Caenorhabditis elegans: one gene and its partners. The protein of the gene in region 3 purifies or fractionates together with the protein of the main gene of each other region. This does not show direct contact. Each region holds a gene or a part of one and is shown on either strand. Other genes may lie near its edges.

Region 1 (7,050 bases), 4.4 Mb from region 3:
AATCAGCAATCGCGCTGAAAATTTATGGAATAAGGCCAAATATCGAGTTGCAACTGATGGAGCTGTTAATGAGATTCTTAAAAGGTGATCTAGGATCCAGAAATTGAAAATTATCGTAAACCGAGTTTTGGATTTCAGAAAGAGTTTCGTCGAATGGCCTCATATTATCTGCGGAGATTTCGATTCAATAAATAAACAGATTGATACAAAAAATGCAAAGTTAGTTTAAATTCTACTGAAATTAAAAATTAATATAGGCATTACTCAACTTCATTGTAATCGTGTTTCATGTTTGATAACATCTTCTATTAATGAGCAATGATAGAATTACTGTAGGGTTACTGTAGTGATCACAAAGAATTATTACTGTAGCGGCTGTTGAATATTAGCTAAAAGAATATATAGGCGTGAACGTTGAAAATAAAATTAAAATATTATTGAGTTGTGTTTTTAATACTGGAAGACTGAAAGCTACAATTCGTTGAGAAGAGTGTATTGACCAGGTCATAATAATGATTTTGCACTTTTTTTGGTATTTCTGGCTTGCCAACTAAATGTTATTCATTCTGTGTTCAGGACTAAAAAAATAAAAATATTTTGTCGAAAATTGTTCTTAATGTTGTTTTAGAGTCGTCCATCTGCCTGATCAAGACTACACAGATCTCTCGAAGAGCGTTCAGTGGTGCTTAGAGCAGAAAACACTAACAAGCTGGGAATTCGAGAATATCGTTGTTCTAGGAGGTCTCAATGGACGATTTGATCACACCATGTCAACGTTATCATCTTTAATAAGATTCGTTGATTCTCAAACTCCTGTGATCGTTTTGGATTCTAGAAATTTGGTTCTCGCTGTTCCTACAGTAATCCTTGGCAGGCCTATGTGAACATTAAGAGTTAAATTCAGGGGGATTCAAATCTTGATGTCAATCTTGAAATGACAACAAAAATGTGTGGAATCATTCCAATTGTTCAAAAGGAGACAATCGTCAGTTCAATTGGACTAAAATATGAAATGGGTATAATCCAATGTTTCAACATCATTTCTATTAAACGTTTCCATTTCAGAAAACCTTGCTCTTGAATTTGGAAAACTTATCAGCACGTCGAATGAAGTTACCACGAGCCAAGTATTTTTGAAATCTTCGTCGTCTCTGATTTTTTCAATTGAACTTGAAAATTGGGTCTACAAACTTGATTCTCTATAGTATCACATTTTATGGTCCCTCTTAATTCACAACTTTTCATTCCTTTGCTATTCAACTGTTCTATTTTCTTTTTATTCCATTTTTCCTAGTTTTCACCGGTACTATATAATTATCTACAATATTATAATACACTTTATTCCCTGTACCATTTTGTGTTGAAAACGAATTAATAAAAATAAAAACGAATTAATAGTATGAGATTAAAATTTTCATTTTAAAAGCAATGTTATTTGTTTAAAAAATATCCAATTCTAATGAATTATCTGCGAATATCCGATAGCGATTTCAAAAATCTAATGAAAATTGAAATTCAACTTTAAATCATTTGTAGATCAATTTTCTGATGCTTCTATCCACTTTCAAACGACATCTACCAATCAGGCGTCTCTTCTCATCAAATAAATTTGATCTGATTGTAATTGGAGCAGGATCTGGAGGACTTTCTTGTTCTAAAAGAGCAGCTGATCTTGGAGCAAACGTGGCATTAATTGATGCAGTTGAGCCAACTCCACATGGACATTCATGGGGAATCGGAGGAACTTGTGCAAATGTCGGATGCATTCCTAAAAAGTTAATGCACCAAGCAGCAATCGTCGGGAAAGAGGCAGGAATAATATTATAAATATTTAGAGCACTAAATTCAAAATTCCAGCTAAAACACGCAGACAAATATGGCTGGAATGGCATAGATCAAGAGAAAATCAAACATGATTGGAATGTGTTGTCAAAGAATGTGAATGATCGAGTAAAAGCAAACAATTGGATTTATAGAGTTCAATTAAATCAGAAGTATTTTTTTTAATTTTGTGGAAATTTTTATTTTTATGAAATTTAGAAAAATCAATTACTTCAATGCCTATGCCGAGTTTGTGGATAAAGACAAGATTGTGATAACTGGTACAGACAAAAATAAAACCAAGGTACGTTTGGAAAAATGAAAAAAGAAGTTTTAAAAAATTTGTTCCGTATACCCAAAAGTTTTGCGGCTTTTCGGAGGAGAATACGGTATCAGGTCTCGACACGACAATATAGTTTTCCGAAAAAACATAATTTATTCTAACAAGTTGTGATAAAATCTATAAAAATAATCTATAAAAATTCCGTAGCAACAAATGTTTGAGATGACAGTACTCGTTAAAGGCACAACTTTTCGCATTTGACAAAAATTTGTCGCGTCGAGACCTGGTACCGCATTTTTGGCGCAAACTTTAGGTAATAATAATATTGCTAGGAAACGGAAAATTAAAAAATTTCATCCTAGATTTTCAGAATTTTCTTTCCGCACCGAATGTAGTCATCTCAACAGGACTCCGTCCCAAATATCCAAATATTCCTGGTGCTGAACTTGGAATCACTTCAGACGATCTTTTTACACTGGCATCAGTTCCCGGAAAAACTTTGATTGTTGGTGGAGGATATGTTGCATTGGAATGTGCTGGATTTCTTTCTGCATTCAATCAAAATGTTGAAGTTCTTGTGAGATCAATTCCTTTGAAGGGTTTTGATAGAGATTGTGTGCATTTTGTCATGGAGCATCTGAAAACAACTGGAGTGAAAGTTAAGGAACACGTGGAAGTAGAACGTGTAGAAGCAGTTGGCAGTAAGAAGAAGGTTACATTCACTGGAAATGGTGGTGTTGAAGAATATGATACAGTTATTTGGGCGGCTGGTAGAGTTCCAAATTTGAAAAGTTTGAATTTGGATAATGCTGGAGTGAGGACTGATAAGAGATCTGGGAAGATTCTAGCAGATGAATTTGATAGAGCTTCCTGTAATGGTGTATATGCCGTTGGAGATATTGTTCAGGTACGATAAAAAAAGTAACATTTTTTTAAAATAAAAATGATAGTATTCAGGATCGCCAAGAGCTCACGCCACTTGCTATTCAATCCGGAAAACTTCTAGCTGATCGTCTTTTTTCAAATTCCAAACAAATAGTTCGATTCGATGGAGTTGCCACTACAGTATTCACGCCTCTTGAACTCTCAACCGTCGGGTTAACTGAGGAAGAAGCCATTCAGAAACATGGAGAAGATTCGATCGAAGTGTTTCATTCTCATTTTACTCCGTTTGAGTATGTTGTGCCACAGAATAAGGATAGCGGTTTTTGTTATGTGAAAGCCGTGTGTACAAGAGATGAATCGCAGAAAATTCTTGGTCTTCATTTTGTTGGACCAAATGCCGCAGAAGTAATTCAAGGTAATTGATTCAAAAAGAGAAATAGTCCGCCCCGCCCGTCACGAAAATGTTTTCTGAACACCTTCAATTTTGGAACAATGTTCGAAAAACCATAATCTGTTCGCAAAAACTTACGTGCTAAATCTGTTATTTTGAATTTTTTATCTTTTTCTTTATTGAATGAATAATATTACACATACGCAAAATTCTGCTATTTTTGCGCCAAAAATACGGCTTGATACGACAATTTTTAATGCAAAGAAAGTGTGCACCTTTAAATAATACTGAAAATTTAAACTTTCGCTGCTGTAGAATTTTTATCGATTTTTTAAAGATTTAATCACAACTTGAGACAATTAATAAATTTTTATCAAAAAGCTTTAAAAATCTACAAAATTTCTGCAGAATCGAGAGTCTGAAACTACAGTATTCTTTACAGGCGCGAAAAAATTTTATCGTGTCAAGTTCAGGTACCGTACTTTTGGCAATCAACTCACAATATTCTGCGGGTAGGTAATACTAACAACCTCGATAATCGATCAAGATACGAAAACTTTAAAAGCTAACCGATTGCACTAAATTATTTCAGGCTACGCAGTAGCATTCCGTGTTGGAATTTCAATGTCTGATCTTCAAAACACAATTGCCATTCATCCATGTTCTTCTGAAGAGTTCGTGAAGCTTCACATTACAAAACGATCTGGACAAGACCCAAGAACTCAGGGATGCTGTGGATAATTCAAAAAGTTTATTGACAAATCATTCAGTTTATTTATCAAAGTTAATTTACATCCTATTATCCTGGATACTAGTAATTATAATTAAACATAATAAATAGTACAAAATATTTGATTATCCTTTTTAAAAGATACCGGGAACTACATATTCTTAATGCGCATCGTGCTCATGGATGGGATCACATGTCTGACGAAGTGTCGAAATACGAGTTCCAGAAGTTGTTAGAATAGATATCACAGATGTTGTTGAACTCCATTTCTTCATTGGCTTCGAAACATTCTTCTTATGGAACTGGTGCTTCCGAAGCTCAGCCTTATAACGATCATCAAACATGATTACATAATTATCTGGCTCACAGAGTTGTACTCTTTGTTCCTTCTCTAATCCCCGCGTGAAAGCGTAAAAGTTTTTATAACCTCCTTCCAACAAATAAATCTCCTCATAATCACATCTCGGATAGATATTTGAATTCAGTTTTCTGTCCACTTCCCGAAGGTTGTTCGCCATGGTTGGTCCACGTTTTTGACTGTATTCACAGTAGAAAATGGGTATCCGGTTGATTTTCTTGGAACCATCTTTGTTGAAGAAGAAGTCTGCAGCAGTTTCTGGATTGAACAGGCTTTGAGCTCCCTGAAAAGATTTGCAGTTTTAACTTTCTGGTATTTTTTCAAAACAGTTATTATAATTCTTTTTTCTGAAACGCACACTTAAAGGCGCATGATTTGGTTTGGAAGGGTCTTGCCACGAAGGAAAGTAGATTTTTTATTAATTCTAAAATTAAATGTGTTTTCTGTTTTTGACAGAACCCATTAGAACGGACTCATGATTCTTTAAGTACGAGTTTTAAGAAGTACAGTATCCCATTCTCATATGGCATTTTCTCTCGAAAGAGTCTATTTATTGAAAAACTAAAATGATACACGGACACGAAGAGAGAATATAAATTACGAGGGTTACTGTAAACTTAAAGGTACACACTAAGACTTTGGAGTCTGGAAACGTAGTACAAACGGCAAAAACTAACCTTAATATGCCCTCCATTATATTCATAATCATATCGGCAATCAATTAGAATATATTTCTGCATAAACTCAATTTGCGATAGCTTCTGCATGATTTCAATTAACGTTTCAGAAGTGATTTTTTGGTATACGGTAGAACAGCTAGGCGTCACGGTTTCCAAATGATAATCCACTTGAAGATGGGCATTCCATGTCTCAATTTCCGAAGTTGAATGGCTCTTTTTTGAGAAAGTTAGTCTTTTCTTTATCACAATTTCAGAAGTATTCGCAGAATCCGTTCCAGATGTATATCCTCCATCAATGCTTCGTTTCCGAGTGGGTGGCGATGAGTTGGAGATGTGGCTGATCGCAGAAGAGTGTTGACGGTTTTGTCTGTAAATTATGGATTTATTGATATCGAACACAAATAATCAACTAACCTTGGGAATAGCTTCGAGGATCCTTCAGCACATTCAGAACATTTCAGCCGGAGCCCGTCATTGCGAACAATGCAGTTTTCACATGGAACGTCAACGCACATCAGGAGACTTGGAGCTAGACTGAACTAGGTATACCTGAATGAAAGAATGCAATAGAATGGATTTGAAGACTAAATGAAAAAAGAGAGACTGACTAGTCTAGTTTAATATGAATTGGAATGGGATCAGTAGAAAACCCTAATGAACACTCAATAAAATAAAACATTATTTTAGCGCGCAATGATCATGGACCCTCCCCTTTTATATGGTCCCCCTCGAGATCGATATAACCTATATAAAATGGGGCGGGCCGTTCTCCTGGGAAGACAATTGATCTCGCAATTGTGTGCCAAGGTGTCGTGTTAGTGTGGCGATGTGCACCTATTTCCGGGAGTGAGAATTTGACCTACGATTGTTTTCACCTTTAGAGCGGGAATTAGACAAAGAGAATATGAGTAGATTCGACTGGGAAGTTTTGATTCTGGGAAGAAACGGTGAGAATTGTCTCTAATTGTATTTAACTTTGAACAATTTTAAATAAAATTTTTGGTATAAGGTGTAGAATATGGCTTGTGGGCAAAACAATTGAAAATCATTAATTTGATGGATACCATAATAATTTTTAAAAAATTGGAAAAGAAAAAATTGGAAAAAGAAAATTTCCACCTATAAAAGGAAACGAAACCGGCTTCCAGGTTCTTGACTGACTCTTAACATATCTAGATCAGAAAGAACCATTGGTATTTCAAGAGTGAAATTTTTTATAACCATTCCTTTGGTGAAAAATACATTCTATGAAACTATTGAAAGCTCCTAAATTTTTGATAAACTTTTAAAATCAAAATCACTTCAACAAGGTGTTCGTTCTTCCAACAGCTTTCTACGTTTATTGTACAAAATACACTTTCATAAAAACGAATAGTCAAACTTTCAATTAGTATTTTTCAATCAATGTCGACTTGATAAATTGACAAAAATCAAAATGCCGAGTTATTTTTTGAGAAACTTAAATCTTCTGTTGTCAAATTATACGCGACAAACTATTAAAATAACAGTAGTGATACTAGTTTAGGGTATTTCATATTTGGCTACAGTATTCTACAGTGTTCCTACTGGGATAACGGAACCTAAGGTTCTTAGAAATTAATGTCAAATATGCGGGTAATCCAGCAAAATTTCCATTTTTCACTGTCTCATTAATATTTTGTAAAGTTTTATTTGGATGGTTCAGGCACCATTTGGCCCATGTAAAGGGGTGCTTCTTTTTTGAAAACTATTTTCCAACTGTCGCTACTCTACTTCTAAAACAGTTTTTATATTATTCTTCGAGTCATTTGAATTTCGAATCACTGTTTAATACAATTGAAAATAAGATTTATTCAAACTACCTACAGAACAAAAAAATCAATAGAGCAACAATGATTTTGAAGATTAGAGAACACTTTTACA
Region 2 (7,609 bases), on a different chromosome or scaffold from region 3:
AATTTGGCATTGTTGGCTCTCTGAAATGGAAATGGATAACGGGATATTCATTGAAGAAAAAGAAGAAACAGAAAGGATAAGAGAATTCTAAAATAGATGAGAGAAACAAAAAAGAAGGCAAAGAAGGAGAAGAAGATTTTGAGTAGCTTCTGCTGTTTCTGTCACGCGCGTCTTTTATAACCAATGTTTACCAAATTTTATGAGGAAAAGCTCGAAGACCAGATTACTGTGAGAAATAACAGATGAACTCAGAATTCCACGTAAAAAATGTTGAGCACAAAGGAGGAAAATACAGAGAACTGAACAAATTTAGAACAAAAGGCCACGTAAGTTAAAGATGGAGTTTATGATTTTTCGAACTATGAACAGAATGTATAACTGCAAAAAAAACATATTTCCTCTAAATACAGTTAGTTTTCCCATGCATGTAGTATTGGAACACCCTGAGCCCTAATTGAAAATCCATTGTCATAATAAAACTTCCGTAAAAAAAGATCAACGCCAGTGAGAATTATGTCAAAATAGTTTTGAAATGAACAAAAAAATAAATCGAAAATTCCAAAGTGTCTTTGGAGTTTTAAAATTTTCAGTTAGTTTTGGTAAATTGTCAAATTTTCTAAAATTGCAATTTTTTTGAAACATTCGGAGGATTATTGCACCTTCGAATTCCAAAACTACGATATATGAAAACTGAATGATTACCACTTTTCTGTAAATTACTGTAAATTAAAAATTCCAACATTTTTTTTGAATAGTTTACAATGATATTAGATAATGTTAGCAGTTAGAGCAATTTCTAAACTATCTCAAATCAACTTCTAAACACGTTGAAGCACTGACAAATTTCTGAAAAAAAAAAACGTTTTTTACGAGGTTTGCGAATATTAGCCGTACTACAGACAACTTGAAAAATTAGCCTTTCATACAAGTACATAATTACATGCAAGACGATAAATTGATTTTTGTCAATTAGTACTACCCACCACACGCAAATAAAGCGAATACCTAACATGGTGTGTAGGGTGTGTCATAGTATTGAGGAAAAAGGTATACCTAGACACCTGCCACCAGAAACAACACAATGTGACAGTTGGCACAAATACAATTCTACTGACTGACTGAAAGAGAGCAAGAGACGCAGAGAATTTTCCCAATTCCACACAAATTTCCCCACTATGAATAGGTCTGAAAGCCGAAATAAACCGAGTGAAAAAAGAGAGAAAAGGCAAGAGATTATTAGTTTCGCGGGACCGGAAAAATGGAAAAATATTTGCATTTTTTGAATGAATCAGCGGAAATATAACTGATATTTTGTGTAAACTATGTATGTAGTTAGTAAACAAAATTTGAATTTTTTTTTTGATATTTGAGTGAAAATAAAAAATAACTTTCAACAATTTTTACTATTTCCTATGCTACGGTAAGTTTAGACTACATCACTTCAATAATAATAAAATATAATTTTAATATTTTTGTTGCTGCATCACAGGGCAATTGAAGCAAAGAAAGGGGCACCACATCTGTTCTTTTACAACTTTTTACCACTGACCGCGTGCGCGGGATGGGAAAAGAACAGGCAATGAACAGGTGCAATTTACACTTCTATGTCTCTAAAAATACATGTTTCTTCTTCTTGTGATGGGGTGTCACAAAAGGACATATTTGGATTTAGAAAGGGAGAATAATATGAGAAGATGTACAAGGGTGACATGAAATTAGTATTAGGAATGGTTTTTTCTCAAGTGAAGTAAATTTGCCCATTAGACGATAACTATTTGATTAAAGATTAATGGGATGGTAAAATAGTTCGAAATAATAATATACATTTTTCATTGAAAAAACTGGAAATTAGAGAACGATTAATCTAGTAAACAGAAGAACTAGAAAACAACTTATTACTCATTCGTACGTCTGTGGAAGTTGAAAGTTGAGTTGAAAGTTAAGGATTACCAATACAAATTAATAATACACTGTTATAAATTAATATGCAATCCAAGAAATGTGATACGAAAACCCCTGGGTCCCGAAACGGTCAAAAATTCTCAGCAACCGTGTCTCTTTTTCCTTCACGTTCACCGACTTTTCAATTTTTTTTGTTAAAATCTTTAAACATATTTATTGAAAAATATAAACTCCAAATATCGACTTCATATATTTCGAACACCCTTGCGAACTCATGGATACGGTAGTATAAAAGTTTGGTTCGTGCCAGGACCCGAAGTTGTAGGGAGATTTTGAGATTATTATTCTTTGAGACAGGAATTTATATTTTCAAATAAAACCAATGAAATAAGATTCGAAATATCACCTAGGAATCAAGCGATGTATCAAATTTCATTTAAAAAATGAGTAAGTTAATATCCACCAAAAGCCAAACATATAAAAGACTACAGTAATCATGGCACTTCAAAAAACGCGAATTGTTTATTACCACTTTTCATTTTCTTCAGGAATATGAAGAAAACGGAAAAAAGGAAAGCTGTTGCGATGTGGTGGATAAATGCAGAAGCTGCAGAGAGAAATAGAATAGAATAAACAAATAAGTAGAGTAGAACGTATTGTCGCCCGCCCGGGAAAGGAAACGGGCGGCCCTTGCGGACGGGATTAAAAGTCACAACTGGTTCAATGTGATGAAGCTCGACTTTCGCCTTCATCTGTGCCACCATCATATGACATACGCCTTCTGGTGGGCGCCCCCGACCTTTCAAAGTGGCGTCTTGTTGTCTGCACTCTCCAGAGGGCGCCAACGGAATGCATTTGAAAAAAGTTGGCAACATTCCAAGGCTATTGTGTCGAGTGCGAACTGATCGGAAACCGTCACCGATGTTTAACTTTATTCAGAAAACATTGGGGGAAACATACTGGAAACCGGTAAAACAGTGAAACACAACGCCAGTTAAAAATTAAAAATGAATAATGTATTGGCGTGGAAGAGAATATGAATTAGTTTAATACACATTATAAACGAGCGATAAGATCAGAACGATGTTGCGAGTCGGCGAATAATGCTTTAATCAGTCCAACAACTTCGGATCGGCTCAAATGTTCTGCCATTGGACCCTTAGCGTTGAACCATCGATGCTCGATATCCTGAAAAATTAGCATAAAAATTATTTATAATTTCTAGACTTTCGGAACAAAACACATGTAAATTTCATATTTATGTTAAATCAAAACATCAAAAGTCGACGTCCGAAACAAGGGTGTTTTTTTGATTTTTCACTATTTCAAAAAGGGTAACTTTTAATATTTTCCTTTTTCCAATATTTGAAAAAATCCAATTTTTGAAAATAAATTGCTTTAAATATTCGCAATTTCACTTGTTTTAGAAGAACTTTTTTATTTTAAAAAAGTTTCTCTAAAGTTCCATGGTCAAAACTTCACTTTCATCAAAACAATACTTTACACGATATTTGAAAAAAAACCAACCTGCATTCTGTTTCCAAGAACGAACACAATTTCATTAAGACGGAAATACTCTCGAGCACAGAAATCGGTCACTTTTGTCTGCTCCTTATAGGCGACAATATTGGCAACAACTTCCAAAAGTCTTTTGAAAACGTCAGCCATCACGTTAGCATCATTTTCGCGGAAATCGGAAGTGGTGACAACGTGGCGCACAAGAGAATCCAACAGGAACGAGACGAGTGATCCAATCACCTTACAGTATACCACCTCAGTCAAAGGTTCACGAAGATTTTTTGCAATAAGGCGAATATGAAGAAGGCAGGCGGCAAGACATTTGATAATTTTTGGCTCTTCTCTCGGAACAAGAATATCAGCCGACTCGGACATCTCTTCAGCAGCAGCAAATGTATTCTTTGTAGTCTTATAACTTGCAGGCAAGTGTTCAAAGATGCTATGATCCTCCAAATAAGCAGTCATTTCGCGACGGCATCTTGTCAGTGTCTTTTCCATGCAATCAGCGGCAACAGTACGCAATCTGATAACAGAATCAAGGAGCAATGGTTCCAATAACGTCTTCTGATTGTCACCACTAGCCTCAAACGACATCGTCATAATGCAGTGTGATATATAATGACAGTTGTTGTAAAAAATGGCAGCCATGTTCGGGATCGAACTGAACAACTCAGCATGCTTCCTTGGTGTGAGAATCACGTAGAGACGAACAATATTCTCGGCGGTAAGAGCGAGTTTCGCACGAGCACCTTCATCTTCACAGGCAAACGCAGCCTTCACGTTATCACGGAGAAGATTGACAAAGTTGATAGTTGATTCACTGAAAATTATTTTTTAGAAAAAAATAATAAACACTTTAAAAAATTACCTGACTGTACATTTCTGGAAAGCGAAGAATGATGGAAACTGCGAATCTTCATTATGGCTCCAAAGACGTCCAAGATCTTTTCCATATTCTTTAGCAAAATGTTCGGCATGTGTATGAGCCTTTGCAAGCAAATCAATATCCTTGATGGCTGAATCATCAACTCCAACTGTAACCAGTTTGTCATACGTTTCATTTATCAATTTATTCGCTTTTGAAACGATCGCAAAGCAACGACGAGTCACAAAAATTGTGTCCGTGTCAAGAGTGAACAGCAACTTTGCTTTCTGAGAAAAGAATCCGAGCTCCTTCATTCTTTCGACAAAGACCTCTCCAATTTGCAACAAATTAATGAACATCTCCTGATCTTCGTCAGCAGTTTCAGTGACGGGTGCTGCAATCGCAATTACATCTTTCAGTATCATAGTTATCAGTTGTTCCTCAATAACGCTTCCGATCATCGACGTGAAAGTCTTTCCAGTCGCGTCCAGCAGTTCGTGAGAATGAAGAACGGAGTGCAACTTCGTAAAAAACACTTCCATTGACCTGAAACAACCATATTTAATTAAATTTCAGAATTTTAAAGTGGTTTTCGCTCACTCGAGAACTTTTGCGACATCAATAGTCTTGTCCTTCTTGCCACGTGGTTTTTGGTTTATCAAGAATCTTGTCTGATCAGGTGTTGGATTATCCACAATATATACGTCAACACCATCGCGGCTAGCAACAATCGCTTCACAGAACACGTTCAAGATAACGATTTTCCAAGCGTCCAGTCGTTCTGGTAATTGTCCAATCATATTCATAGCACTTAGAGTTTCGTTCAGCATTTTCTGATCTTCCACGCTTCCAACATTGAATACTGAGAAAGAAACATTTGTACGATCTCCACATTTCTGTTTTGACAGTTTTGGAACATTCATTGCTCTTTCGTAGTCAGCGGACAATTGGTAACGACAATTGTAGCTTAAAACCGAATATTCTGCGGCAAAATGCTTCAATGGAACACTCATGTCGAAACCGTCTCGTCCAATTCCTTCAAGCAGCATGTTTGTGTCATTGAGAAAATCTTTACAAGCAAGAATAGCAGTTCCCCATTCTACACGATTCGTTGTTTTACTCCGCATAATTATCAATTGTTCTTCGACATTTTTCATCTGAAAACTCAATTGTTTTATATGCTTATTTTCGAACCATTACCGATTGCAGGAATTCCACCAGATTTTCGCAGCTTTGAGCTTGGGATTTAATCTCTGCGAGCATTTCGGGGCTGTCCTTTGCTGTCTGATCAATTAAGTTAGACAGATTTCGAGTAGACATTTCAGCTATATCCTCGAGGTTCTCAAGTCGGTCGAAAATAAGCTTGGCTGTCGCGTTAACATTGAGTGACACTTTCAGGTTTCCATACTTGTCCACAATGTCCTGCGAGATTGAAGTAAGTCCATTTTTCAGTTTTTTCTCAAGATCTCTATAGGATCCCTCGGATGACGCCATTTTTTAAGTTTCACAGCCTGAAAAAGAAAATGTTCTACGGAATTATTAACTAACAAATACATGAAGACAAGAGCATTTAAATTTCCCGCAAATAGAAAACATAAAAACGACAACGAGACACCGGTGCGCTCACTTTAGCAGAAAAATGTTACTCACGCGTTCACAGAGATGAAAATTAATAACGGGAGATGAGTTGCAGGCAAGTGACTGGGGAAAGAGTCAATTTAAAAAATGTTTAATTGAGAATTCAGCATTCGTGATTGCTTACTTTTTGAAAAAAGAGCGCCGCGTGAATAAAAACAATAACGTTTCTATGAAGAATAAGATCTTATTACGTATAATTATTACGTTGCAACGCGTTGAAAATCGATTTTAAAATCCTTTGAACGATAAAAACAAAAGTTTGTAAAATGATTTGAAATCGAAATCAAACTTCGTTCCACGCGCGCATAATTATGATTATTGGCGCCAATGTACGGTGTACATCCGTGTTTGCGTACTTCGGACATGCAGACAACGAGAGACTGAACAAAACTGAGACCCGAAGAACTCGGGGGATGTCCAACTGGGGGGATTCCCAACTCGGGGGATTGGCCACGCCCACAGAACCGTGCCTTACAATACGCCCATTTCTGCAACCTCCGCACGGTTTTGAATGATGATTTTCTTCATTGTTTTTTGGGGGAGAAAAATCAATTTCGACTCTAAAAAGTTCAATTTGAATTGTTTTTCTTCGTTTTTTTCAGCCATTTTCGCAAAAAAAAGTATTTTTCAACCGTGACTTGTTAATTCGCCCTCCTTAATTCGTGTATTCCTTTTGTTAATCTCTTTCCCTCTCATATTTTATCAATTTTTTTAATTTCTAGACTTCGTCGAATCGAGGGAAATTGCACGGATGAAACAGGGATGTGCTTCTCCAGGCCACCCACGTGAGTATTATATTCTCAAATTGTAGAAAGTAGGAAAAAATTGATTTAAGAACAAAAATTGAAATAGTTTAACAAAAAATTAATGAAATATCTTCGGATCGAACATATATGGACTTATAGAGGCATTGAAATCGTTGAAACAGCTATAATTTGCTGTCACTGCTCTTTTGAAGTCGGAATTTCTGTATAGTGGCGGGCGATCAGTTCTTTTCGATTGTACGTCTCTGTGAACGTTAAGACTCCAAACCGTAGACTTCTCAATTGAATTGTGTAGAATTTTGTAATTGCATTCATTTAAGCCAAAAGCCTCTAAAAACTAAGCGAATCTGATAATAGACCAGATAAAATCTTTTTTCATTTATATATCAGCGATGTCATTATGAAAGTTCTAATTTAAATTTTTCAGATCCGCCCGAGCTGCTCATCCTCCAAATTCTTCCGTTTTCATGACAAATTATTGTTTTTTTGTTGAAATTATGTAATTCATTAAATGTAATATTATCCTTATCTGTAAATAATTATCATGATCAATAAAATATCGCTCTTAATGTTCAATGAATAGCTTGCAAACCAATTTGTACAATAATTTCATTGAACAATTTCCTTCGGCTCTGAAAAACATTTCATCACAATTTTTCAGGTTATCTTATTCGAATTTTTTAAATAGAACTCGTTCTACGTTCTTCACTTCGTCTCCTCACGTGTAAATTGTTCTTTCCTTGCAAATAATCGATTTTTACGCGTCGCCTTTCCGTGTGAATTGTTGTTTCACTGCGAAAAATCGATTTTTTTGAAATATTTTACTTTTATTCCGCGAAAACGACTCAAAAACCGAAAAAAACAATTCAAATTGAACTTTTTAGAGTTGAAATTGATTTTTCTCCCCCAAAAAACAATGAAG
Region 3 (6,514 bases):
ATCCGTTTCGAACCCTCTCTCTACAGTTCCAAAAATCAACGGGATATCGAGCATCTTCTCCAAAATAGAATTTTTCGAGGTAGCTGAAGAAATCTGAAAAACGAGAATAATTGATTTCATGACAAGATTTTTCAAACCTTTCAATGCTGGATGCATATTAACTGTTCGACATTTCAGAAGACGGAGCCAAAGAAGTACTTTGTCGTGTGGAGCAAAACTGAGAGTATAAATCGATTTTAAAAGATTCACGAATTCCGGCTTATTGATATCGTCTCCAACAGCTGAAATTTTGAATTAGGTTAGCAGCATTAAATATTTAGGTTTACCTTTTCGCAGATTTTTAAAAAGATTCACTTTGAAGTGACGCCAACATCCAAAAATGTCCGCATTCGGCCACACAGCTCTGCTCGCATTAACACTGGCCACTTCAAAGTCTGGATAGGTTGATAAATTTAATAAATATAACCAACGTTTACCTGAAAATACGTATTTTGGTTGGATTCCACTACGTAGGAAAGATAGGAACAAACGTCTGTACAAATCTTCTTTGGCAGAGCCACACAAAGCAAAAACCAATGGAACTGCCACGTTCGTATCGAGATCCTGCAATGTCATTGGTTGACATCAAAATACCTTTCAATTAATACGCACCGTGACTGTTGCGATGTAAAGCTGTCGATAATTTTTCGGAATTTCTGAGAATTTCCCATCCAAATGCAAGCTGTGTGCACCATACAAAGATTCAGCTTCCTCTGCTTGCCACACAACTAGCAAATCCTTATTAGACTCAAACGTTCCAGAACTGTCTAAACAACATTTTCCTCCTTTAAAATAGGCAGAATCGAGGGCTGGTGGAAAACTATTCGTCGATTTCCTACTCAGCATACCGTCCAGTATGCGACTGATTTCTTTCTGGAAAAAGTATATGTTTTATTGATTCCACGATTTATTATTTACGTTGCTCTTGAGAAGTTCAACAACTTCATATCTTTTTGAAAGTGTAACAGCAAGCTCATAAAGGCGTTCTTTTGATGGTGAAGAAGACATTGATGAAACTGCGATTTTTCTCATAATTAATTGCACCTAAAATATAAATTTAGTTTTGAAAAACGTAAATTTCAGTATACTGCAATTTCGCTTCTCCTCGATTCGTGATCACAATCACGACTGACTTTCACATGGCCTGTCTCAGTCTTGATACGCACGGATCCGGGGCACTTTCTCGAGTTTTCCAGTGTAACGTTACATCTGAAATAAATTAATGAAATGTGTGACAAAAAATAAAATTTTTTCCTAGCGATAATTCACCTAGCCACAATGTCCCCATTTTTCAGTGTTTCTCTCGGACGATAGCTTTGATTGTTGAAAATGACCAATGGAGCTCCTCGTTTCGTCGAAATACTGAAATTGCATAGTTTCTATGTTTAATTGTTTTAGAAGTTAGAAGGCATACCAAAAATCTGAACTATTCTCGCTGATATATTCCGGTGCCATTTCAAGCACCCTCTTGGGCTATTGGCAATCGGTCTATAGTGCATCAGAGAACGTAACACGTGTGACTTGCTGGAATTTTATATTTTGATAGAGTTATTGATTAATAACAACCTATTTGTCAAAAACCAATCCGGATGGTATGGAGTCTCTTCGTCTTCAAACGGAGATTGATATGAATTGTGACCTAAAAATACAACGTCTGTTATTTCTATTTAATTATTAGTTAAGACCTACACAGAAGATTGAATTCACTGGTTTCCTGTAGATCGTGATCCATTTCTTCGGGAAATACAGCTGGATCAAAATCAAAAAATCTTTCAGTATTTGCCATGGAATCTGTTGTATCCAAGCTTGTTTCCTGAGTAGAATTGGCTATTGAATCGCATTCCGGGATATCGTCAGTGGATCTCGGCTCATCGAGCTCTCGAGAATTTGAAGGAAACTGCATATACGAATCAGACCGACGTGGTGATGCAGGTGGAGTAACCAGATCGATTGTTGCAGGAGTCGATTCACATACATTTGTAGTAGACGCTTTCGGATTTCTTTTCTTCTTTAGATCCCTGTCGAACGCTGAAAAATACTTTTCACTCTTCAATTAATCTTTAGACATCAATACTTGCCTCTAAAAAAGCGTTTGGCTCCGCTTGGATCACTCTCAGCATCAAGTTCTTCTTTTTCCGGGAAGGAAATGCTCATTTTCGATTAATATTAATTTTGATCGATTCGAAATCGATTGCAACCCGTTTTTGTCATCGAAAATTCTGAAAATATCCGTATTTAGCTCGAATAAAACTAATTAATTTCCATTAAAAATCCGTTTTTAATTGAATTCCGTTCGAAATTTCCTGTTGGAAAAAGAAATAAATAAATACGAAGAAGCGTGCGGCGCATTGCAAAAAGCCGTGCGGCGCATTGCGAAGGACTGTGCGGCGGGCTTGCGAAAAGGCGCGCAGCACATTGCCCTACTGAAAGCGTTCCTTACGAAAAAATCCCCTTACGAAAACGTACCCCCTCGATTAGAATAGAACAGTTTAGCAATTTCTAACAATTAATTAAACAAAATTTGGATGAAAAGTCTTTAAAATGTATCAATTCATTGTGCCGCAATTAATTTAGGCCAACATTAAATTTAAAAATTTTACATTTACCGCATCTTCTCGTTTGTCCGAGAGGACTACACCACTCGCTCCTAGCGAGACCTTCCACCGGCGAAAGTGCCTGCGCCTTTAAATTTTGAATCTATTTTTTTGTTTCTACGCAACGATTTTTCTTCTTTTTCTCTTATTTTTCTCTAATATTCACTATAAATATTTATTAATTTTCAGAAAAATGCAAGAAGACGACTCGGTGAAACCTTTTCAGACCGTCGGCGCTCACAGAGATCTCATTCATTGTGTATGTTGGCTTGATTTCGAAAAATTAGATAAAAACTGAAGATTTTTATTTCCAGGTTTCATTCGATCCTCATGGCCGACGAATGGCAACATGTGCCAGCGATATGACAATGGCGATTTGGGATCGAAAGCCAGACGGAAATTGGCGTAGATCTGCACACTGGAAGGTAGAAAAGAAATTTCAGAAAATAAAATAATTTTCCTCATTTCAGTGTCATGGTGGAGCAGTTTGGCGCGTTATTTGGGCTCATCCGGAATTTGGGCAGATTGTTGCGTAAGAAACTAGAAACTGTCACCCGAATATACTTTATTGATTGATTTTCAGCACCTGCTCCTACGACAGAACGATTGTAATTTGGGAGGAGCAAATTGTGAGATCAGAGAAAGATCTGAGTGAGTATAATTCGCTCTAAATATAATCCAAAACATTATGTATCTCTCAGAGCAAAAAGAATCCCAATGGATCCGAAGAACAATCATCTCCGATAATCGTTCAGACGTCACCGATATCTGCTTCTCCCCGCGCCATCTGGGTCTCATGATGGCATCATGCAACGTTCTCGGAACCGTCAGAATCTACGAAGCACCGGATATTGTGGACGCTTCTCGATGGAATCTTATTCACGAGCTTCAAGCGTTTCATACCCGATGTGGATGTGTCACATGGTCACTTTCTCGTATGCACCGCCCGTTGATTGCTGTTGGTTCGGATGAGAAGAAGGCAGAGAACAAGAAACGAGTTGTGATCTATGAGAATATTGATGGATTGAGGAAATGGCAGCGAATCAACTCATTAGTCTTCGATCTACCATGCCCGATTACTGATTTGAAGTAGGAAGAACACGCTCTCCTCGGAGCCGAATAATTATTACAGCGCGCTTGCCTTTCCATTGAAAATAGCAGATTTTTCAGTATTAAAAAATCCGCTCTTTGAATAATTTTTTGTCTAGAAATTCCAAAAAATAATCGAATTTTCTAAAATCCGATATTTATCGGATTTGTGTCTAAAAATTTCAAAAACAATCGTATTTTCTTGAAAAATCCGCAATTTTATCAATTTTTTGCCTGAAAATTTTAAAAATAATTGAAATGTTCTGAAAATTCCGCTATTTTAACAAAATTCAAAAAATATTTAAAATTTTCTTGAAAAATCCGCTATTTTAACAATTTTTTGTCTAAAAATTCCAACAAAAAAAATTGAATTTTCTGGAAAAGTCCGCAGTTTTATCAATTTTTTGTCTGAAAATTCCAAAAATTATTGGAATTTTCTTGAAAAATTCGCTATTTTAATAATTTTTGTCTAAAAATTTCAAAAAAAATCGAATTTTCTTGAAAAATCCGCTATTTTATCAATTTTTTGTCTGAAAATTTCAAAAAAAAATTTCCGCTATTTTAACTATAATATTTAAAATGTTCAGATTCTCGCCGATATCGATGGTGGATTCGCATCAATTAGCCGTTGCATCAGGCGATGTTCACGTCTACAACATCAAAGTGGCTCGTTCGGCGATTCTCGAAGAAGACGGTGTCGAGAATCCGATTCAGCTGGCGGATTACAATCTGATCAAGGTGGCACTGCTCGGGGATCATCGAAAAGCATGGAGGCTTCGATATAATCTCATGGGATCAGTCATCTCGTCGACGAGCTTGGATGGAACACTGAGATCCTGGAAATGTTGGGAAAAAATCAAAAAGAGTCAAAAATGAAATAAAATTGATTTTCAGCACTCTTCGTGAACCAATGGGTAAAGCTGAGTGAGATGAATGTCGACGACTACGTTCCATCGCCTGAAGAAGTTCGCGCCTTCATCTCATCGAAAACTACCGAACGTCTTCCATCACAACTCGAGAAAACCTATTTCTAACGATATTTTTCTCTATTTTTTCTCGCCGATCATTTTTTTTCCGAATGATTTCTTATCAAAGCGTGTATTATTATTTGTTATCATCATCTGAAAACTGAAAACCGAGAACATTATCACCGATTTTTTTTTGATGTTTAAGTATTTTATCAATCTTCTGTTTAATTTTCAGATTTTTCATGCTGATCGGTTTCTGCAAGAATTAAACATTCCACTTATCTAACTTATGTAATTTTCAACGGTTTTTGTGCCTAGAAATATTTTTTGGACGTTTTTGTTAATTCTTTTTGCATTCAACATTCACCTAAATTCGAAAATTAAATATTTACTGAAACCCGATACTGTCTTTTTCACAGTTTCCACAATACCTCCATCAATTATTGTTGATTTTATCTCTTTTCCAAATCTAGGGATAGTGGGTTACTCGCAGAGAAATAGAGAAACGGCAAGGTCATTTACCTGGCCTTTTCTCATCCACACATGTCGGAATAATTGTGGTATTAGTGTCCTTATCTGCAAAATTTCGATTTTTTAAAACTTTTGTTGTCTTTTCCACAATTTTATTGCAAAATTTAAGCACTTTCTAATTTTCAGAATGACTCTTGGATGTGCAAAGCTTGACAAGCAAGTTGCCGATTGGCTCGCTTGGGATAAGAATGATAAGAATCGTAATGAAATTCAAAAGCTGGTTGATGAGAAGAACGTTGATGCATTGAAAGCTCGTATGGATACTCGATTGGTTTTTGGAACTGCTGGTGAGAAGAAAATAATATTACACAGCTGCAGTGTGTAAACGGTGGAAGAAACGCAGCTATATTGGGACAAAGGGAGGAAGACCCGAAATTGTGTAGATTTACAGAGTGTGAATCTTCATTATTACGGGAATGCATATTGCGCAACTTATTTGACGCGCAAAATATCTCATAGCGAAAGCTACAATAATTCTTTTAATGGCTACTGTAGTCAATTTTCGAAACAATCTGTATCTGTCGCTATTCGAAAAACATTTATTCTCGAAAACCGAGCCCACACGTGGAGTCAGAAAGTCCCATTTCGCTTTGATCTACAAAAAATGCGGGAGAAGAGACGCAGAGTTCTTAGCCGAATTCGCATGGTTAAGAGCGTGCTGGCGCCACATTTTTCTGGTAAAAAATTCCCGCATTTTTTGTAGATCAAGCTATATTGGGACAGCCAGACACCAAGTGAGCCCATAAATCTACACAAGCGCTACACTAGTTTAAAGAATTACTGTAGTTTTCGCTACGAGATATTTTGCGCAATGCGCATTCTCAAAGATTTGTGTTCCCGTATCACACGGTCCCCACATCTCTGCGTCTCTCCACTGTCTACACTCTGAAGAAGCTGGGTGATATTAACAGGAGAACAGTAGAGATTCAAAAGTACAGCTCAAAATATAAACGTATTTTTTCCAGGTGTCCGTTCTCCAATGCAAGCTGGATTTGGACGCCTCAACGATCTTACAATCATCCAAATCACGCACGGATTCGCTCGACACATGCTGAACGTCTATGGACAACCGAAGAACGGAGTCGCCATCGGATTTGATGGACGTTACAACAGTCGACGTTTCGCAGAGCTCTCGGCGAACGTCTTTGTTCGTAACAATATTCCAGTTTATCTTTTCTCTGAAGTCTCTCCAACTCCTGTTGTCTCGTGGGCAACGATTAAGCTGGGATGTGATGCTGGACTTATTATTACTGCATCACATAATCCAAAGGAAGACAATGGATATAAGGCGTA
Region 4 (10,204 bases), on a different chromosome or scaffold from region 3:
TGATTTGAAACTTATTATTTATATGGTTATTGATACATTTTGAAGCACAAATACATTTTGACAATCACATAATACCCAAGCCAAGCTTAACATGTTCTATTTGAATTGTTTCTGATTTATAAGTGGGAAAGCGCCAGTATGGAAATTGTTGAAACTAAATGTATGGTGACAAATAAACCAAATATCATAGTAAAACTTTTAAAATTTGTTTTATTGGCAGCCAAAAAGTGATAACTATTGTGTACAGGCATACTCATTTTTTGTGTTTTGTTGGCGATTTTATCAAGGTTAACAACTCAATTATTTAAGGTAGGTTTTAGTATGCGTTACTGGCTCCTAAAAAATGTTGCATTTAGTAATCAATTTTTGAGAAAAATGATCGACTTGGAGTCCCAATTAGAGAGAGAGAAAATATAGCAGACCAAATAAAATTTGAGAAACATGGAAAGTTGTGGAAGAAATTTTAATATACTGGTGTGCAACCTTTCCAGTAGCTGCTGTGCAGTTTTCCAAAAATTCCTCTATTTTCTATTATTATTGTACAGTTCGAATAACTAGTCTGATTTCTGAATATATAAAAGTTGTCCTAAATCGAAATGTTCTTTGAACTCCCCCCTATCACAAACATGGTTTCCAAAATCTTTGATTCGCCGGAAGAGAGCAACTCTCTCTTAATGCACAACACAAAAAGTTGTTGCACAACACGCTGCACATGCTTCCCCGTGTCTAACAACGGCGGTAAAGCCTTCCTCTATGAGTCAATGATATGCTTTTGCCGCGCGGCAAGCTGTGTGGCCACCGGCAACGTCAAACAACCTCTGAAGACGATATGAGTGTAAAAGTGGCGAGAGTGTAAGAGCACACGCCAAATTATGTTTGTGCATTCTTTTTTGTTGTGTTGTAGAGTGATGATGAAAACGAAAAAAGATGAAGAATGAGGAATAAGCGTTGCTTAACGGAATGTTTGAGTATGCTGACCATTTGATTTTAGAGATAAAAGACGGGAAAATGCGGTAGCAAATGTGAATGAGCATGTTGCTCAGTGATCTTCAGGAATGACAAAGTAAAATCTAAGCTTGGCATTTAAAGAATACATATCATCAATTTATAGTCAAATGGTTGCTGAAACATGAAAAGAAACATTGGAAAAAATTAGCTTTTCTTTTTTTTAACGTGATTTTCAAGTAAAAAAATTGTTGAAGTTCCTTTTTTTCAAAAATTTTTTCTTATACATATATACTTTCGATAAGCGTAGAAATATATATAAAGTTAAAATAAAAAAGCAAAATATTCGAATACCCGCGTAAAATAATTTTAGGGTACAAATCAAGTTTACCTTTTTGGTGGCAAATTTTTCAGTGTCAATTTTTGAGCACCTAACCTACGATTTACCCGATTGGCTCTTTTTCTTTAAGAAAAACAAACCACAAAAATATAAATAACTTAAAAACAGTCACATTCAAAGGAACTACTTAAAATCGAAAAACCATGCAATTTTGCACTTTAAAATTTGATTTTTCAAAAATTCTTTGTTAAAAACCAAAAAAATAAGGTCGAAGGAAAATGGGATCAAAAAACGCTTCAGTTCAATTGACGAAATTGACAAAAACCATTCCACTTTTTTGAATGGTTTAGGCTCTTCAAAGAGGCAAATGGTGAAAACTATGTGTAAAACAGAAATTTCAAATTTTTAGGAGAAACAATTTGTTTAATGAATGAAGTTATTTCATTGTTGGAAGCATGAGTTTCTGATAATTAGCGTCAGTGGGGATCTTTTCCAAATGCACCAATAATGATATAAAATAACCATATTAAAACACTCCAAAAGTTTTTAGATTAAAAAAAAACTTCCAGTCAGTCAAAGAAGTTTTGGCTAGTTGCCAAATTTTGGAAAACCTTTTAAGAAAATCCAGAGCAATGTCGCAAGAGTCTACCCTTATAATGTTTTAAATCAACTAAATAGAATACAATTAAAGTATAAAAGTCGTCGAAAAAATAAATTTTTTTTGACCTGCTTCCAAAATTATGAGAGGCAAAAACTCAGTAATTGCAACTTTTTGAGAGTGAATAAAATTTCCAAAAATTTTTTTGGAAAGATTTACTATGATAGTATGCCAACTTCAATATACCCCACACTTCTTTCCGCGATATTAATCACAGACACGTGTCACCTACGTGTAATCACCGATGATCATCCAGTAGTGCATATGCCAATCACGTCAGAGTTGACGGTCTCTCATGCTCCCATAATGCTTAGCTCGATTCATTTTTCCGTGCCTTCCGGTCATCGTTTACATTGTGTTGTTGCTGCACACTGCTCAACGCCTTGGGGCGGCGCGAAAATGCGGGAGGTGCAGAACCGGAATGATTGGCACTGTATTATAAAAGTACGAGCAATGTTCCGTCGACTTGGGACATTCTCAATTACACCACAATTGAGCGTCATGTGGAAGTACGCGGTTGTCTTTTCTGCTATTTTTCTCATCCGTGAGTAGGCTTTTTCATTTCTAATTCATTTTATTGTTTTTTTTTAATTTTAGATATTGTGGATGCTGGCTTCCAAATTTCACAGCTCAAACCATTGTACAAAGAGGATAATATTACTATCAGTGAGCTTTCCACAGCACTTGGAGCAGCCTTTCCACCATGTTGCTCCGATATCATTTCGAGCATTGCCTGTAGAAGACTTCAACAGCACAATCCTTCGAAGTTCCTAGACAGGTTGGTTTTTTTTTAAACTTCATTAATTGTTTCAAATGCTCTCTGAAATTAAATATGAAGTTCAGATGCGCTACTGACGCTGATTTCTCTTTGATCCAATGTTGTAACACTTGTGGAATGGAAAGCGCTGCCGATAGATACGAGCTCATTTTCCAAGCCGGCCACAAATCCAACCAATGTTTCGACCGCCATGGATCAGAGTTCTGCAAGCGATTTTTGAAGAAGGAGGATGTTTGGGGAAAGGTAGGTGACGCTTTTCTAAATGTTTTCTAGACCACTTTTTTTTTGCAGTCTCAATGGTCTTGCGACGGATCGACTGCACATTTGGCGTTCCGCATTTGCAGAAAAACTTGCAACTTTTGCCGCAGAGATATTTATCGCACACCGCTCGGTCGATTTGAGCCAGTGTCTTGTGGAAAACCACCAGTTCTCATTCCGAACTAAATGTCACACTGGAAACGTAATTTATTCATTCTTATTTTTTAATATTTCTTACTCATTTATTTATTTATCTATTCAATACTTACTAATCTGTTGTAATATATTTTCCTAATTTCATGACGAAAATTAACGAGATCTCGATCGAACCTTTTTAAAATTCCAATTTATTTATTTTAATGATTAATAAAATCTTCACAAAAAAAAAGCTTGGACTTTGAAATTCGTAAAAATGACAATCTTATCAAATGATGGACACTTTTGAGATAGTAAAAAACAGAGTGTAGAGGGCAATCTTATCTCTTCTCTCCATCTTTTTCCATATCGATCTTGTTCGATAACCAGAAAAAGTAGTGTTGTAGATAGTGCGAGCCCCATTCTAGGTCTATTACTCTCTATTTCTCACTATGTGTTCTCGATTTTTTGGCCAAAAACGTTCGTTTTCCAAATTTCTTCAAATTTCTCCACAAGTTAAGGAGGCTCTAGCTAGCGGAGAAGGAGTTGTCGCGCTGGAGAGTACAGTGATCACACATGGACTTCCTTACCCTCATAATTTAAGGTAGTGAATTGCAAATGCATTTGAAACTATTAAAAAATTATTTGCAGTACTGCAAGAAGTTTGGAGCAAAAAGTTCGATCATCAGGAAGTCATCCAGCTACGATTGCGTTATTTGATGGAAAAGTAGGTTTTTTCGCTAGAACTTGTTTCTGAAAATTTAAATTATTAAATGATACTTTTATTGCTGCCACGTTCGTTTTTCTAGCAGACTGCGACATTTTATACCAATATTTTCATATAAAACAATAATATTTTTTTATTCAAAAACTGCCAAAATTAGTGTTTCATCAACTAAAAATTCTTAGGAATTTTTGTGAAAACTTAAACGCTATAAAATTAAAAATCATTTTTTGAAAATTTTAAATAGTGTATACCTAAACATTTTCATTTTATTCAGATTCATGTTGGATTGGATGATGAAAAACTGGAACTTCTTGCTTCAAGTCAGAATGCAGTCAAAGTTTCCTCCAGGGATATCGCAAAGACACTGATTAAAGTAAGTTTGATCTACTATGATAAATTTTTCAATGTTGATTTCAGAAAGAAGTTGGAGGAACTACAGTAGCTTCAACTATGAAGATAGCACACGCAGCTGGGATCAGTGTATTTGCAACAGGTGGCATTGGTGGAGTACATCGTGGTGCAGATCAGAGTGAGTTGTTTCATGTGTTTGGTGTTTTTTTTTTGACCCGTGAAGTTTTAGGAAAATTGTTGAATTTGGACAATTTTTTTTACCATTTATTCAAGTTCTTTTTTTTCCGAACAGCAAAAAAATTTTCCAGCATTCGATGTTTCGGCTGATCTTCAAGAACTTTCGCAAACTCCCGTGTGTGTGGTGTGCTCTGGAGTCAAAAGCATTTTAGACATACCCAAAACTGTCGAATATCTTGAAACTCATTCCGTGAACTGCATAGTTTATGGGCAAGAAAATGTGTTTCCAAGCTTTTTCACTAGAACATCAGATAGAAAAGCTCAATTCTGCACTGAATCATTGGAAGAAGTTGTTCACCTGTTAAGTGAGTTGATGAAAAATATTGGTTCATGAAGTAAAGTCATGAAGTGTTTCAGAAACCTCGAAATCTCTCGGATTACCTTATGGAACTATTCTGGCTTGTCCTATTCCTGAAAAATATGCAGCTGATGGAGATGCGATCCAGAAAGCAATTGACCAAGCTGTTCAAGAAGCCATGTAAGTTAAAATTTAAATATGTTGCACTTTTTAAAAATATTTTTTGAAAAGTTCCCTGTTTTGCTTCAAAACTTTACTTTCAGTGAACAAAACATCGCTTCACAAAGTGTCACCCCATTCATTCTTGCAAGAGTGAACGAGCTCACACAAGGAGCTTCAATGGCTACAAGTATGCGTTTTGAACAATTTTTCCGCTGTTAATTGTCATTTTACAGACATTGCACTTCTCGAGAATAATGCGTCAATTGCTGGAAGACTAGCCGCAAAGCTCTGCGATAGACGTCCACTTACAATTTCACAGAGCCAACCAACTGCATCAACGACTCGAAAACCAAAAGTGGTGAGTCAAACCTACAATAAAGTTTTTTTTATTCACTTGCGAAATGTGGTATTGTTCTCATAAAAGTTTGAAACAACACAAGCTGTCTTAGCAAACAACCAACGCCTACTAGTTTCAATGACATTTATTTGTCAAACGTATCAAACAGATCACGACTGTTTTTCAGGTTTCTATCGGAGCAACTATCGTTGACTTTGAAGCCATCACGAGTGAAGATGTAAAGGTGAGAATGAAACAAAGAACAATTGAAAATGAGCAACAACAAAAAAAATCAGAAAAAAACATTTGGGGAATGGAGTATACCAAAAAAAAAAAAACCAAAAAAAACATGACAATTTAGAAAAGAAAAACTTTTGAAAAACACGTAAAAAATTATGATGAAAGAAACTTAGAGATTTGAGTGGTTTGCGGATTTTAAAGTGATTGAGCCGTGGAAAGTTGTCTGAAGGGGACCTAACGGTTCAGACATGGCACAGAAAAGTAGACACAAGTGAAACCGCCATAAAAAATTATTGAAAAAATTTTGAAAAGTTTCATTACGAAATTCGTTTATTTGAGTTCATTTTATTCGAAATTTGCATTATTAGATCAAAATTGCCCAAACCGTTTAAACTCATTTAAAAACAAAGTTAGAGAAAAATAATATACACTAGGTGAAACACTCTCGACAATTTGCTGCAACTCATCCACCAACTGCTGCAACTTTAGCAATGCCAAGCGAAGAAGTTGCTAAATTTGGGAAAAAGGTTGGATAAAATTGATCAAAGTAGGTAAACTTAGTAGAAAGTGCTTGGCCAAAGTTGTAGATATGTTTCTATAGTTCGTAGAAACGTTGCAAAAGTTGGTGTATAAGTTGTGACAAATTGCCGAACTAGTAAGATTCATCAAAATATTATTTTACCAACAACATCTCTTATACCAACATCACACCCTTGCAAACACTTTCACAAAAACCCCTGAACTGTCGGAATGAAAAAAGGAGAAACTGAACTGAACCCCCAAAAATTAAAACTGTTCAGTAACAGCAGCCGCCTCAAGTTGTCGTGCATTATGAGCAGCAATCGCTTGTTGTAGCTCTTCCCGAATTTCATCCCCACGGACCGTAAATTCGTTCTCCACCTCCTCGATTACAGAGTGCTTCAAGAAAGGTGAATATCCTGGGAAACTTTTAACGCGGCTGATTCCTGATGTTTGGGTTGACGTGCTGTCAGCCAAGTTGATATTGCTCTTGAAGCTCTCGATGTAACCATCTCCATGGCGGTCACTGAAATATAATTGTTGATTATTAATGCTCCTCAAGTCATAGTTATTACTATTCATTAATCATCTGAGAGTAGTATTCAAGTTCCGCCATTTCTGTTTCAACTTTCTCGATATCTTTTCGAAGAGCTGCGATCATGAACAACTTCAGCGGCGTGATCACACAAAAAGCAAGACATCCGACTATTTCTGTATTGGAATGGAGCCATCTGCAAGATTTTTTTGTTCATATAATTTCAGTTTTTCCTGAAAGATATGTTACCTCTTGAGATGAATATAGCAGTCATTGGAATGTCCAGTTGGGCAAAACGATTTTGTAACGTTTAGAAAATCTGAAATACAGAATTTTATGAGGGGAACAACTGTAGAAACTAGATACCTGCACATGTTTGTAACACTTCTTCGGGTGGGCAGCAAATCAAAGTCTGATAGACGTTATCCCAGACAGAGCATAGTTCTTTCTGAAAATTAATAACACGTGTTAAAAAATTACACAATTTATCAAAATTTTGCATGGTGATATTGAAAAATCTGAAAATGTTTTCAGTGTTCTAGTATAATTTTCAGCATTTTTGGACTATAATAAATGTAATTAAAGTTGATCATAATTGCAACCGAATGTATTCAAACTTTTTGAAACAATTTAGCAATAAGAACTGCGCCGGGAGCGGAAAAGTCATGAGATCCCAAATTCCACGTATATGTGCTAAAATGTGTAATCAAGACCATCTGATTTTTTTTGGTCAGAGTGATAGACTAATAATTTGGTAGGCTGAACTAGGCTGAAAACAATGCTGCATAGGTTTTTTGTCAGTGCGAGTTTTCAAATCATTAAAAAGGAGGTCTTGTAGAAATTGGACACACTGTATCAATAATTAGTATTCCTCAATGAGTTTAATAACTCCTATTTTTCCACGTTTTGTTCTGCACAAACTGTACTGGTTTAACTTTAAAAAATCAACCTAACTGTATACTTGGTTTTTCTCCCGGATTTCAAAATCTTGAATACTTACACTGCTATTGTGAAGTACTTGAATGTGGGAATATAGCGAGGTGTGAGCTGTGGACATGATGCTTGCAAAAACGAAAACCATGACAGCATCCACAATAAGTGTACAGCACTTTATCCAATGACAAAAAACGACAACGCCAATTTGTCTTTTCCGAATTGCAACAATTGATGCGATACACAAAAGTGCCTGAAAACAATGGTTTTTGATGATACATAGTGAAACTATTAAGTTCGGAGCTTTGCACTACTCACCAAACAAATATTGATGAAGCAGTATCCAAGAACATATGGATCATTCTTTTTGATAGGAATCAGCACGAATAATGGGCTTGTGAGCATGACAATCGTGGCGCCAAGAAAGAGAAAAACGGCAAGCAGGAGTATCATATTGCTCCCATAAAGCCATGCCGCTTTACCAAACCGCATGCTGAAAACTTGTTATAATTATGGCAAAGTGATTCTGAAAATCAATGATGAAGGTACAAAAAACAGGAACGGGGAAAGATTTTTGAAAAGAAAGACGAACAGGAAAACACACACCTCGCACATGTTTGTTTCTTCTTTCTCTCTCTCTCTACGAGGATTGATTGTGAGAGAAACAGTGCTGATGGCTCGTCTGTATGATTGATGAAAAGTGGGAGGCCAAGACAAAAAAAGAGAAAGAACAAAATAAAATAAATGAAAACTGTGTGGCAGAAGCTTCCGGCACACTGCCAATCGGAGAGCAAGCTTTCTGATTCATTGCTATTTGAACAAAGTATCAATGCGCTACTGTCACACATTTAAGTGATCGCTTCAAAGCACATAATGTTTTTTTTTCTAAAGAATTGAGATTGAGAATTTGATATTGAACTCCAATATATATAATATCCGGTAACACTTAAATGATTTCAGGATGATGGCGGCTCATACAACGGACAAGTGGTACAGCGAATGGGAGGAGTAGCAAGGAATCACGCGGATGCATTAGCAAGGTCAGAAATACTCGTAAATTAGAATGTCATCGCTTGTGCGTCGCGCTAAAAGACGCACCACCACTTTCACTTTTGGCACACAGTTTTCATACATTCACAAGAAATCGAAATGATATGTTTTTCTTCCTGACCATTTTTGTTTTGAATTGAAGAAAAAAAATTGCTAAGAATTTGTAGCGTGGTCAAAGTACAGTGCATATTGGGATAAATAATTGGAATGATGTGAAAATGTAGTGTTCAAATGAGGGGTGGGTAATTGCCGTTCGGCAAATCGGCAAACTTGCCGGAATTGCTCAACTCCGGCAATTTGCTAATTTGCCGTTTGCCGGTATCAGTTTGCCGGAAATTTCTAAAAGGATTTTCGATAAGGCGAAAACACTGAACCGTGCCATTATGAAATGTTTTCCTGTTTTTGAATTATATTCACATATAAATTGCTTACTTTCAAAATAGATGTAGGGTGATCCGTAGGATGCGTACAATTTTGCGGTTCAAAATTTAAATGTGTATAGAGTTAAAGAAAAAATGTGTAAAACCTTAATTTGCCGATAATTTTTGGCCATTGCCGTTTTCTGGCAAATTCGCCGATTTGCCGAATTTGGCAAAAATTTGAAAAACAGCAATCCACCCCCGGTATACTAAACCAAATACAGAAATACAAAATGTCATAAAACTAATCAAGTCCATTTGCATTTATGGACTTGTGGCTTTCATTTTTTGTTCAAACCAAAAGCACAAGCGAGACCTTTTAACTTCTCATCACATCAAGATAGTACAATGTCACTGTAAACTTCAAAGATGACCGACAACACAATACCACCAAACCTGATGCTCAAACGAAAGTAAATGTTGCCGAGGTATTTGTGTGGATCGCAAAAGAGCGAAAAAGTAATTTGAACTCGGTCTCTTTGGAATTCGATTTTTTTCTGCTCTTATTTTGACAAACATCCCAAGATCGTTGTTCAGTTTTGTAATTGTTTTGTGTACGATCAATTGTTTGATTGACTTTTGTCTGATAGTTTTGCACTTCAATTGAACTTTAACTGTATTGCAGGCTTGAGCCACGGCGCGCAAAGTGCTTGATTTGAAAATAGCTTTATCTTAAAATATATTTTTTATTTCAGGCTTGGATGTGATTCAGTTTTCATTTCTGCTATTGGCGATGACAACAACGGACATTTCTTCAGACAGAACAGTCATAAAATTGTAGGAAATTTTTTTGTTGTTTCTCATGGAAATTTTCGTGTCGTTTAGGATATTAATCGAGTAAAGATTATAAGCAACAAACCAACTTGCACTTATTTAGCAGTCAACGTGAAAGGAAACGTGAAATATGGAATTGTTACTTGTGAGCCACTTCTGAGTGTCATTACTCCGTCATTGGTGGGTATAATAGGATACGAGGCAAAAAATAGTTGTTTTTTCAGGTTGAAAGCAATGAAGATGCATTGGAATCATCAGATTTCATTCTTCTTGATTCAAATCTATCAGTTCCAGTTATGGCCAGAGTTTTAGAAATTGCAAAGAAACATGATAAACAAGGTATGGTGACTTACATAGAATTAACAAAAACAGACAAAAATATACAAGGCTTCAGTTTGGCTCGAGCCCACGGACATTGACAAAGTGAAAAAGGTGTTCGACACAGGCTTGGTTGGAGCTGTAACTGCCGCATCGCCAAATGCCAATGAGTTTCTGAAATGGGCTAAAC

Evidence for each region.
Region 1: the proteins of npp-18 (region 3) and trxr-2 fractionate together in Caenorhabditis elegans (co-fractionation; one large-scale study listed by BioGRID). This does not show direct contact.
Region 2: the proteins of npp-18 (region 3) and czw-1 fractionate together in Caenorhabditis elegans (co-fractionation; one large-scale study listed by BioGRID). This does not show direct contact.
Region 4: the proteins of npp-18 (region 3) and T24C12.3 fractionate together in Caenorhabditis elegans (co-fractionation; one large-scale study listed by BioGRID). This does not show direct contact.

The regions. Positions count from the first base shown.
Region 1 is NC_003281.10:8,912,233-8,919,282, forward strand, and holds trxr-2 (putative glutathione reductase 2), read left to right. Parts: upstream 1-1,536; 5' UTR 1,537-1,548; coding exon 1,549-1,809; intron 1,810-1,857; coding exon 1,858-1,994; intron 1,995-2,040; coding exon 2,041-2,125; intron 2,126-2,474; coding exon 2,475-3,011; intron 3,012-3,061; coding exon 3,062-3,404; intron 3,405-3,972; coding exon 3,973-4,121; 3' UTR 4,122-4,227; downstream 4,228-7,050. Other genes in the region: tpk-1 (thiamine pyrophosphokinase 1), read left to right, coding at 1-84, 139-219, 629-860, 905-1,016, 1,066-1,205; M-phase inducer phosphatase cdc-25.3, read right to left, coding at 4,272-4,751, 5,146-5,515, 5,563-5,663.
Region 2 is NC_003282.8:7,940,797-7,948,405, forward strand, and holds czw-1 (Centromere/kinetochore protein zw10 homolog), read right to left. Parts: upstream 5,797-7,609; 5' UTR 5,780-5,796; coding exon 5,486-5,779; intron 5,443-5,485; coding exon 4,886-5,442; intron 4,832-4,885; coding exon 4,289-4,831; intron 4,241-4,288; coding exon 3,430-4,240; intron 3,091-3,429; coding exon 2,959-3,090; 3' UTR 2,824-2,958; downstream 1-2,823. Other genes in the region: exc-9 (Cysteine-rich protein 1), read right to left, coding at 1-10; F20D12.12 (uncharacterized protein), read left to right, coding at 6,675-6,708, 7,115-7,158. UniProt on the Caenorhabditis elegans protein: Essential component of the mitotic checkpoint, which prevents cells from prematurely exiting mitosis. Required for the assembly of the dynein-dynactin and mdf-1-mdf-2 complexes onto kinetochores.
Region 3 is NC_003281.10:13,294,031-13,300,544, forward strand, and holds npp-18 (Nucleoporin SEH1), read left to right. Parts: upstream 1-2,822; 5' UTR 2,823-2,826; coding exon 2,827-2,892; intron 2,893-2,947; coding exon 2,948-3,058; intron 3,059-3,103; coding exon 3,104-3,165; intron 3,166-3,216; coding exon 3,217-3,284; intron 3,285-3,334; coding exon 3,335-3,722; intron 3,723-4,309; coding exon 4,310-4,566; intron 4,567-4,616; coding exon 4,617-4,756; 3' UTR 4,757-4,963; downstream 4,964-6,514. Other genes in the region: pgm-2 (Phosphoglucomutase-2), read left to right, coding at 5,349-5,508, 6,187-6,514. UniProt on the Caenorhabditis elegans protein: Probable component of the nuclear pore complex (NPC) which is involved in the trafficking of macromolecules between the cytoplasm and nucleus. As a component of the GATOR complex may function in the amino acid-sensing branch of the TORC1 signaling pathway.
Region 4 is NC_003284.9:2,197,202-2,207,405, reverse strand, and holds the start of T24C12.3 (Carbohydrate kinase PfkB domain-containing protein), read left to right. Parts: upstream 1-3,512; 5' UTR 3,513-3,566; coding exon 3,567-3,718; intron 3,719-3,765; coding exon 3,766-3,841; intron 3,842-4,115; coding exon 4,116-4,214; intron 4,215-4,258; coding exon 4,259-4,370; intron 4,371-4,500; coding exon 4,501-4,734; intron 4,735-4,786; coding exon 4,787-4,907; intron 4,908-4,990; coding exon 4,991-5,076; intron 5,077-5,122; coding exon 5,123-5,247; intron 5,248-5,413; coding exon 5,414-5,470; intron 5,471-6,252; coding exon of another isoform or gene 6,253-6,511; intron 6,512-6,560; coding exon of another isoform or gene 6,561-6,716; intron 6,717-6,769; coding exon of another isoform or gene 6,770-6,839; intron 6,840-6,886; coding exon of another isoform or gene 6,887-6,968; intron 6,969-7,520; coding exon of another isoform or gene 7,521-7,706; intron 7,707-7,771; coding exon of another isoform or gene 7,772-7,945; exon of another isoform or gene 7,946-7,966; intron 7,967-8,413; coding exon 8,414-8,493; intron 8,494-9,617; coding exon 9,618-9,699; intron 9,700-9,747; coding exon 9,748-9,876; intron 9,877-9,920; coding exon 9,921-10,035; and 2 more. Other genes in the region: T24C12.4 (ShKT domain-containing protein), read left to right, coding at 2,445-2,487, 2,541-2,721, 2,787-2,964, 3,013-3,165; T24C12.1 (Tetraspanin family protein), read right to left, coding at 6,253-6,511, 6,561-6,716, 6,770-6,839, 6,887-6,968, 7,521-7,706, 7,772-7,945.